Linked DNA regions of Caenorhabditis elegans. The protein of the gene in region 2 purifies or fractionates together with the protein of the main gene of each other region. This does not show direct contact. Each region holds a gene or a part of one and is shown on either strand. Other genes may lie near its edges.

Region 1 (4,006 bases), on a different chromosome or scaffold from region 2:
ATCCTTTACACTATAAATTGGAAATAACTCTAAAATACTTTTCAGAAATCTTCGAAATCTCTGAACCAAGTTCATATCAACCTGGCAAAGCGAAAACAGTGGAAACGAAACAAGGCGTGGTGTACTCATTGTGAGTCATACTGGAAGATGAAGATTAATTCGAAACAGTTGAAGTCTAGATACCCGTGCTGTTGAATTATTTTGAAATATTTTTTTATTTTAAATAAATGCCTATTTTCCGCGTGAAATTATAATTTTTACTGCAAAACGACAACCTGTGCTCATTTCTTGGATTTATACTGAAAATTTGAGTTTCAGGTTGTGCTTGAACTTTGTAGATTTTATCAACATTTAAACATCCAAACTTCTGGAAAGCCCAGTTGGTCAGTTTTATTGGCGTTTTAATTACTGTAAATTGATACTTGATAGATGCGCAGACAATTCAACTATAAAAATATTTCGAAGACATTTCTCACAAGTTTCTTACAAGTACACCAATTTGTAAATGTAGTTGTCTTCAGGAAACCCCATCAAATCCAGGATACACATATAATTTGCTCTCCGAGCACTGACCTTTTCTCCCGATAACTATACAACTTGCTCCTCCCCCTTGCAAACTCTCAGAAGTTGCCCGCCGCGGTGCAAAAAAAACAACAACAACCTTCGATATAATATCAATTCTCTCCTCTTCTCGCACATTTTATAATCCGCCGAAACTCGGAAACACACAGTTTTTATGAGTAGTGGGGGGATTTGGGACTTTAGGTCACATAACAGCTGCTCTTTTATACACATTCCGATGCTCTTTTTTCGAAGGAACTGACTTTTTTTTGGCGAATGAAATTTGTATCAAAACATTTGATATAGTGAAGATACTAAACATTTTTTGAAGTTTCAAAGTTCCGTCTTCAAAACAAAAAACAAAGCAAAAAAAAAGTTCAGTTGGTTTTGGGTGTGCACCTAGTCTCAACGCCATATGACAGAATGTAGCGTCTGCTGCTGCTGGCAGTTACGGCTCTGGCACGCCAGATGCCTACGCCTGTTGTGTTTCATCTCATACCTCTGTACTCGAGGTTTTACCCCCCTCCTACCCCCACTGTTTATTACTTTGCTCGACATGTGCTGTTCTCAAGTTATTTGGCATCCCTTAGCATAACCCACCTCCTCACGAACTTTTTTTTTACTTTTTTTTTCCCCATTTAGTTAACTTTATTGTTTAGTTTTTTCAAAAGTTGTTATCTGATTTTTCATGTTTTTCACTTCATTCCTTTATTCCGTTTAAAAATTCTAGCTTGTGAAATTTTCATGATTCCACCTAACACCTCAAAACGTATACCAACTCGTTGAATTCTTAATTTTCATATTTAACTCCAAATTGAAAGAGTTTTCTCACTTCCAGAAATTGCTAAAAATCTCAGTTCCATATTGATTTTACGCGATTTCTAGAATTAGAGCAACTTTCTGAATACAACTTTCATAACTTTCGTTATCCTTTTTTTAGAGGCTTAAACCTATTTTAACGTTATAATGTAACTGTTTAGTTTGTAAATAATGTCTACGTAAATTTATAATTTGTATTTTTTGTTGTCTGGTTTTGAAATATCAAACCCCAAATGTTAGATTTGAGAAAGCCCGTTTAATTTTGAATTTTTCTATTGTGAGTACTTTTTCAGTTCTTTAATTTTTCATTTGAATCCCCAAAAAACTCAATTACTGGGCTTGAATTCATCTAGAATCTCCACATTTTTTCGAAAACACCGTAATTTTCTGGTAAAGTTGACCCAATTTCGATAACTTTTTTTCAGATGAAAATGAAAATTGAGCCAAAAAAAAACCCTACTACTCCCGCCCTTTCTATATTGCTCTGAAACCGAGAACATTCTGGAAATCTGGTTAATTTTACAGTCCCAAATTTAATTTTTTTACTTCAAAAACCATGTTATTTTTAATATGCACAATTTCAAGTCCACCATCTCTTTTTTTTCAGAAATCATCACAAAATGAAGTCCCGGATTTTTTTTATAACATTACTGACAATAGTTGCCGCTCAAGAATCCGCAGATCAGTTATGCAGTAGTTTCGATGCCCAGCAGAGCTGTGGACAGTGTATCAAAGCACATGCAGAGTGTGCATGGTGTATTGATCCCGTATGTTTACTTTAAAGTGCAGGGGTTTTGAGAGGGGGTACTAAAAAGTTGGACGTCTTAGATTTCTGACCTTTTTGTAAAATTTGATATCTAGCTAGTTACTTTGAGTTAGTTCAAAAGATTTTCCAACTAAAGAATTATTTAAAATCGTTTTCTATTTGTATAGTTCATTCCTTTTAACTGCAAATTTTCAAAAATTTTAAAACTGGGTTTAAATTTAAATTTAAATTTTATTTTTATTAATTTTAAATTTTAATTTTAAAGCGCCACTCTACATGCACCTGAAAAATTGTAGAATATCACATTACAAATGTTATCTTAGTTTGTAATTATTTGGAAAAAACCGAAGAATTAAATTATAGGTGCTTTATGATGCTTTATGATGCTTACAATAATCGTGCAGTTACAAATTCAGAAAAATTATAAGTGCATATGCACGTGGTGTCAGGCTGTCCTATTATGGTTTGATCTACAAAACAAGCGGGAATTTTTTGTCAAAACAACTGTTACGTCAGCAAGCTCTTAGCCATGCGAAATCAGTTGAGAAGTCTGCGTCTTTTCTCTTGCATTTTTTGTAGATCTATGTAGATCAAACCAAAATGGGACACTCTGACACCACGTGCATATGTGAATACTTTTGTTTCGCAAAAAAACTTTCAGCACTCTTCCCTTACAAACCGATGCCAGCTGAAATCCAAGTTTACCAATGAGACATGCACGCCGCACTTGGTGTATTCTCCACAAACCGCTCAGGTCAAAATTCAACAAGTAAGTGTTACAGTGGTATAGATCCTCGCTGTTTAACCTTTAAAATGTTACAATTTTTGAAAGTAAAACAGCGAGGAGGCATACCCATTGGAGCCTAATTTTCCAACTTTTTCTCCAGAACTTACCACTTGAAACCAAACAGCATGATGGTAAAACCATTGTTCGACAACAGCCACAAGCGGTTTCCGTCCGTCTAATGCCATGTAAGACTTGCGTTTTATTTTTTAAATACGTAACATTTTCGATAATTTGCAACTTTGTAGCTCACTCCGCCACCGTTTCTTTCAAGTACCTGCATCAAACTGACCCAAGCAGACGGAGCACCGAACCCGAGACTATGGAAATTCAGACTTCTGATGTTAAAGATACTCCACTGCAATTGAAATTTTTCATTGTCTGTGATGGGTAGGTGAAGATTTCGAAAAACAATTTTTATAGGAATCATTTCAGAGAGTTGAAGGAGACCAAGTCGTGCCGTGTGCAGAATAATCAAATCGTTGAATTTAAGATTGAAGTGAGTCTTTTTTTGTTGAAAATTTTGTTTGATCTCCAAAACTGGCAAAAAAAAGTTGTGGATTGCTCGTCACTGATATGGAATCTGCCTCGATTTTTCGAAAACATAAATTTCTCCTAAAAATTGAATTTTTTATCAAAATCTGAAGGCAGTGACCTAGGCAGGTGCCTCTTTTTGAATTATTGGTCGTATGTTTTCAATTTTGATGGTAAACTTGTGAAAAAATGGGGACAGCGGTTTTTTGACATGCTAAATCCGAATATAAGGTTCTATGGTAATCATTTAGTTTTCCAATATTACCAAATTTGAGAGGGGTTACCATAGCTGCAAGGCAAATTAAATTTAACAAAGGGTCGCCCATCACTTGGTTTTTCAAATTTTAATTTTAAAAAGCCCCGCACGTGTTTTCAGCTTGACCATTCGGTGTTATTTGTGCAAACACCGTCACGCGCAAATGTAGACATTTTTGCACGTGCGGTTGTGAAATTCCTCTTGGCGAATTCAAATATTTTTCCCGCCTTTTTTGAAAATTTTCGAGGCGTTGGTCTAGCTGAATAAACGTGTCCTGTGAAACACA
Region 2 (4,006 bases):
TCGAATTTCATCGATGCTCAGTGAGGACGCAGGAACCATGTTGAGATCCGGAGCACAAAAGTCTTGCTGCTCTGAAAATTATAAATTTTCTTTTTTTCCAAATATTGGTTCAAAATTGGACTCAAAATTGCCTAAAAATACCGAATTTCATGATGAAACTTCTTGAAAACTTCTCAAAAAAAAGTTATGACGGCTCAAAAACTGGCCTAAAATTAGTTAAAATTTGAAATTTGACTTGTCAGCGCTGCCAGCTGGAAACTAATATTTTTGAAATCACCGTCAAATTTTGAGTATTTTATGTAATTATCTTTCGTTTTTAACTCTGATTTAGGTATTTTAAAGTCGATGAACGGCGAGATTTTTAAATTTTTTTAAACCAAATCTCGCGGTCCATCGACTTTAAAATACCGAAATCGTGTTGAAAACGCAAGATAATTACATTTTATACCCAAAATTTGACGGTGATTTCAAAAACAAAAATTGTTTCCAGCTGACAGCGCTGACAAGTAAAATTTTAAGTTTTAACTACTTTTAGGCCATTTTTTGAGCCGTCATAACTTGTTTTTGGGAAGTTTTCAAGTTTCATTATATAAATCGGTGTTTTCAGACAATTTCGAGTCTACTCCACCTTTAAATGACAAATTTCTGAAATCCTTACTTTGTCGAACTATACACTTGTCAAGTTCGGCAGATGGATCGATGAAATTCAGTGCAGCTCGGTTTTCGCGAAGCTTTTTGATTGGTCTTCCATCCCCGCCGAGAATGATTCGTTCTTTATGAATTTTCGGCGGATTTCTGAGGCTCGCAAGAAGCTCGCCGACTCCGGTGAGCTTTTTTCGTGGGCAACACACGTCATTTCTTCCAGAATCGTTGGCTTCAGCTACTGTTTCCTTTTTCATGCATTCTTGAAGGAAGTGCTCTTGAATACGACGAATCTGTTGAGCATCCTGAGCGTTGAATGATGCAATAATCTGCTGTTCCTTTTCGTCTTGGCAATCCCTATGTTCCGCATGATCATCTTCCGAGACTGCATCTATCAAGAAATCATTAGAAGAGAATAATACAAGAGAAATAAATATCAAATAGTGATAATAACTAGGTTTCTTGGAACCAAATATAGAAATCAAGTTAACAAAATTTCGTTATTTTTGTTTTTTTATTAGGTTAACAATAGAAAAAAATATAATGATTACGTGAATCTTCACGATCGACAATCTCCGGCGCCTTCATTGTTTCTCGTTGCTTGTCCTGATTGTTCCTGTAATTAATTGCATTATTGAAGGAAATTTTAAGATTTCAAATAACGAAATTGAACACGGGTCTGGAAAAATAGAGGCGAAACGAAGAAATATGAACATTTCGAAATAATGCAACAATCTCATGTGACTCCTGATGAAGAGGGTATTTGAAGTGCAAAATAGAGCGCAAGTGCACTTTTTTAATTTTTCTCTTAAAAATAGCTATTTTTGTTTAATTCTAGAGTTTTAATTATAAAAAGAAAAGCAAAATTCAATAAAGGTTCTCTTCGAAAAAATAAATTGTTCGGGTGGATTTACGGTAAACAAGGCGCATTGCGTTAAGGCGGAGTGTCGTTGTGCTCGGGTCTCGCAGCGAAAGTCACCTACAGTAACCCAGAATTTTAGGATGACCGCGATTTTCAATTTCGTTTTTTCTTTTCGCGTTTTTTCGCGGAAATGTTTGTTTTTGATGCTCGTTTTGTGTTTTTGTGTTGTATTTTTGTTGCTTTTTTCGCATTTTTCTATACGTTAAGTCTTATTTCGTCTTGAATTTTAAATTTACAGGTAATAGTTACAAAATCGAGAAGGATGCCAGCTCTTCCTCCAGTCTACACGCCTTCTGGAGCTCCATCGAGCGTCCACGCACCACCTGCCGTTCCACCAGTTCCAGTTCCGACTCAACCGTTAAGATCGGAGTATCAAACGTCTAACGACGCTTGCATCAAGAGACTGGAAGAGCTTAATGTACGTTTAGTTTAATTGATTTTTTTTTCAAACCTAATTTGTTAAATTTCAGATTGCTCCTGCTGCAAAGCTCTATCCAACACCTACTGAACCAGGAAAGTGTGGCGTCGAGGCCGAAATACAGACCAACGTATTCGGAATCGAGATGCACCAGGATTCGTTGTTCTATCAGTACAGCGTGAACATCACGACGGAGCTGAAAAACGGGAAAGAAGTTACCTTCACTAAGAAGGGGAAGGATGAGTGAGTTTACCACATGATTTATATTTTTCTCATAATATGTTCCAGCTTCGTCGTTACTGAGAGACACGACAAGTGCTGTGCGATTCTGTTCCGCGCGCTGGGTGACTATGAGGAGTTCTTCAAAACGTCTGATAGCTGCCTCATCTACGATGGTCAAAGCATTCTGTTCTCAAACGTGGATCTTTTCCAAGGGTTCAGAGAAGGCGCAGTAAAGGTAAATAAATTAAATCTCGGCCAATGTTATTCCGAATATTTCAGACCAAGTACATGCAGCTTGATGGCGGAGAAATGGATCATAAGGATCTCAAATCGTTGCCGTGTATTAAGCTGGAGGTGTTCCCGACTAAAAACCCAGCGGTCAAGTTCACACGAGAAGCCGTAGCAAGACGAGCAACGGACTCAAACCTCGATTCTGTCAGCTTGGCTTACCAACAGATCCTGGAACTCGCTCTCACTCAACCATGTCTTCGCAACACTGCGAGATACGTTGTTTTCGATCATGGAAAAATGTTTTTCATTGATCCACTCGGTGAAGGATTCGAGAAATGCGACGTTGTGGACGTTGGGGATGGGAAGCAAGTTGTACCAGGACTCAAGAAGACGATCAACTTCATCGAAGGACCCTACGGCAGAGGACGGAGTAATCCATCAGTTGTCATTGACGGTTGGTATTCAAAATAGTAATATCATAGTTATTTCTTGTTTTTCAGGGATGAAGGTCGCTTTCCATAAGAATCAGCCAATTCTCGACAAACTGAAGGAGATAACTACGCAGCCTGTGGAACACGGCCTGAAGGGACTCGAAAAGGACCGCTGCGCAGCCGTCATCAAAGGGCTCGACTGCTATTCTACATATGGCGGTCGTGAACGTCATCACAAGATCGAGGGAATCCATCACGAAGGGGCTCGAAATGCTCGTTTCGAGCTCAACGACGGTGGAAGCTGCACTGTAGCTCAATATTTCGAAGACGTATACAACATCACTCTTCGCTATCCAGACACAAATCTCATCGTTTCCAAGGAGAGAGGAAATATAAACTTCTACCCGATGGAATTGTTGAAGATCAGCTCTCATCAACGCGTTCAGATCCCGCAGCTAACCAGTGCCCAGAGTCAGAAGACAACGAAGGAAAGTGCTGTTTTACCTGACGTTCGCCAGCGTCTGATCTTGACGGGAAAAAATGCGGCGCAAATCTCATCGGACAACGAGGTTCTCGGTAAAATGGGCGTCTCGGTGTGCGAAGATCCGCTCATGGTCAAAGGACGCTCAATTCCTGCGGTGAAGTTGGCAAACGCTGAAATTGGAGCCAATCCAATCAATGTCAAGGACAACAAGTGGCGTGCCAACCGCTTCACTCGACCAGCCACGGCGCCGAATGTGTGGGCGATGTATGTTGTCGGTACCGCATCAACTCGCATAACTTTGGATACTCTGAAGTAAGACTGGCAATATAGTTTCATATCTCATTTTTTTCGTTTCAGGAAATTCGCAGATGAGTTCGCGGCTATGTGCAAGTCAAAAGGTGTCAACATGCCTGCTCCTGCTGACATTTCGCTCATCCATATGGATGCCATCGAGAGTCGTCTGTACGACGCAACGAAAGCCAATTGCACATTCGTTTTCATCATAACGGATGATTCAATCACTACACTCCATCGTATGTTACATTGTTTATTATATTTGTCCATATTTCCGTCTTTCAGAGCGTTACAAAATGATTGAGAAGGATACGAAGATGATCGTTCAAGACATGAAGCTATCCAAGGCGTTGAGTGTTATC

The links.
Region 1: the proteins of wago-4 (region 2) and C05D9.3 fractionate together in Caenorhabditis elegans (co-fractionation; one large-scale study listed by BioGRID). This does not show direct contact.

What each region holds. Positions count from the first base shown.
Region 1 is NC_003284.9:1,109,916-1,113,921, forward strand, and holds the start of C05D9.3 (Integrin beta epidermal growth factor-like domain-containing protein), read left to right. Parts: upstream 1-2,000; coding exon 2,001-2,147; intron 2,148-2,807; coding exon 2,808-2,915; intron 2,916-3,033; coding exon 3,034-3,118; intron 3,119-3,178; coding exon 3,179-3,320; intron 3,321-3,365; coding exon 3,366-3,429; intron 3,430-4,006. Other genes in the region: C05D9.4 (uncharacterized protein), read left to right, coding at 46-195.
Region 2 is NC_003280.10:12,917,751-12,921,756, forward strand, and holds the start of wago-4 (Argonaute protein wago-4), read left to right. Parts: upstream 1-1,800; 5' UTR 1,801-1,826; coding exon 1,827-1,982; intron 1,983-2,034; coding exon 2,035-2,225; intron 2,226-2,270; coding exon 2,271-2,439; intron 2,440-2,483; coding exon 2,484-2,889; intron 2,890-2,935; coding exon 2,936-3,662; intron 3,663-3,707; coding exon 3,708-3,883; intron 3,884-3,929; coding exon 3,930-4,006. Other genes in the region: F58G1.2 (C2H2-type domain-containing protein), read right to left, coding at 1-71, 659-1,027, 1,194-1,230. UniProt on the Caenorhabditis elegans protein: Argonaute protein which is involved in the endogenous small interfering RNA (endo-siRNA) pathway and is required for RNA-mediated gene silencing (RNAi) in the germline.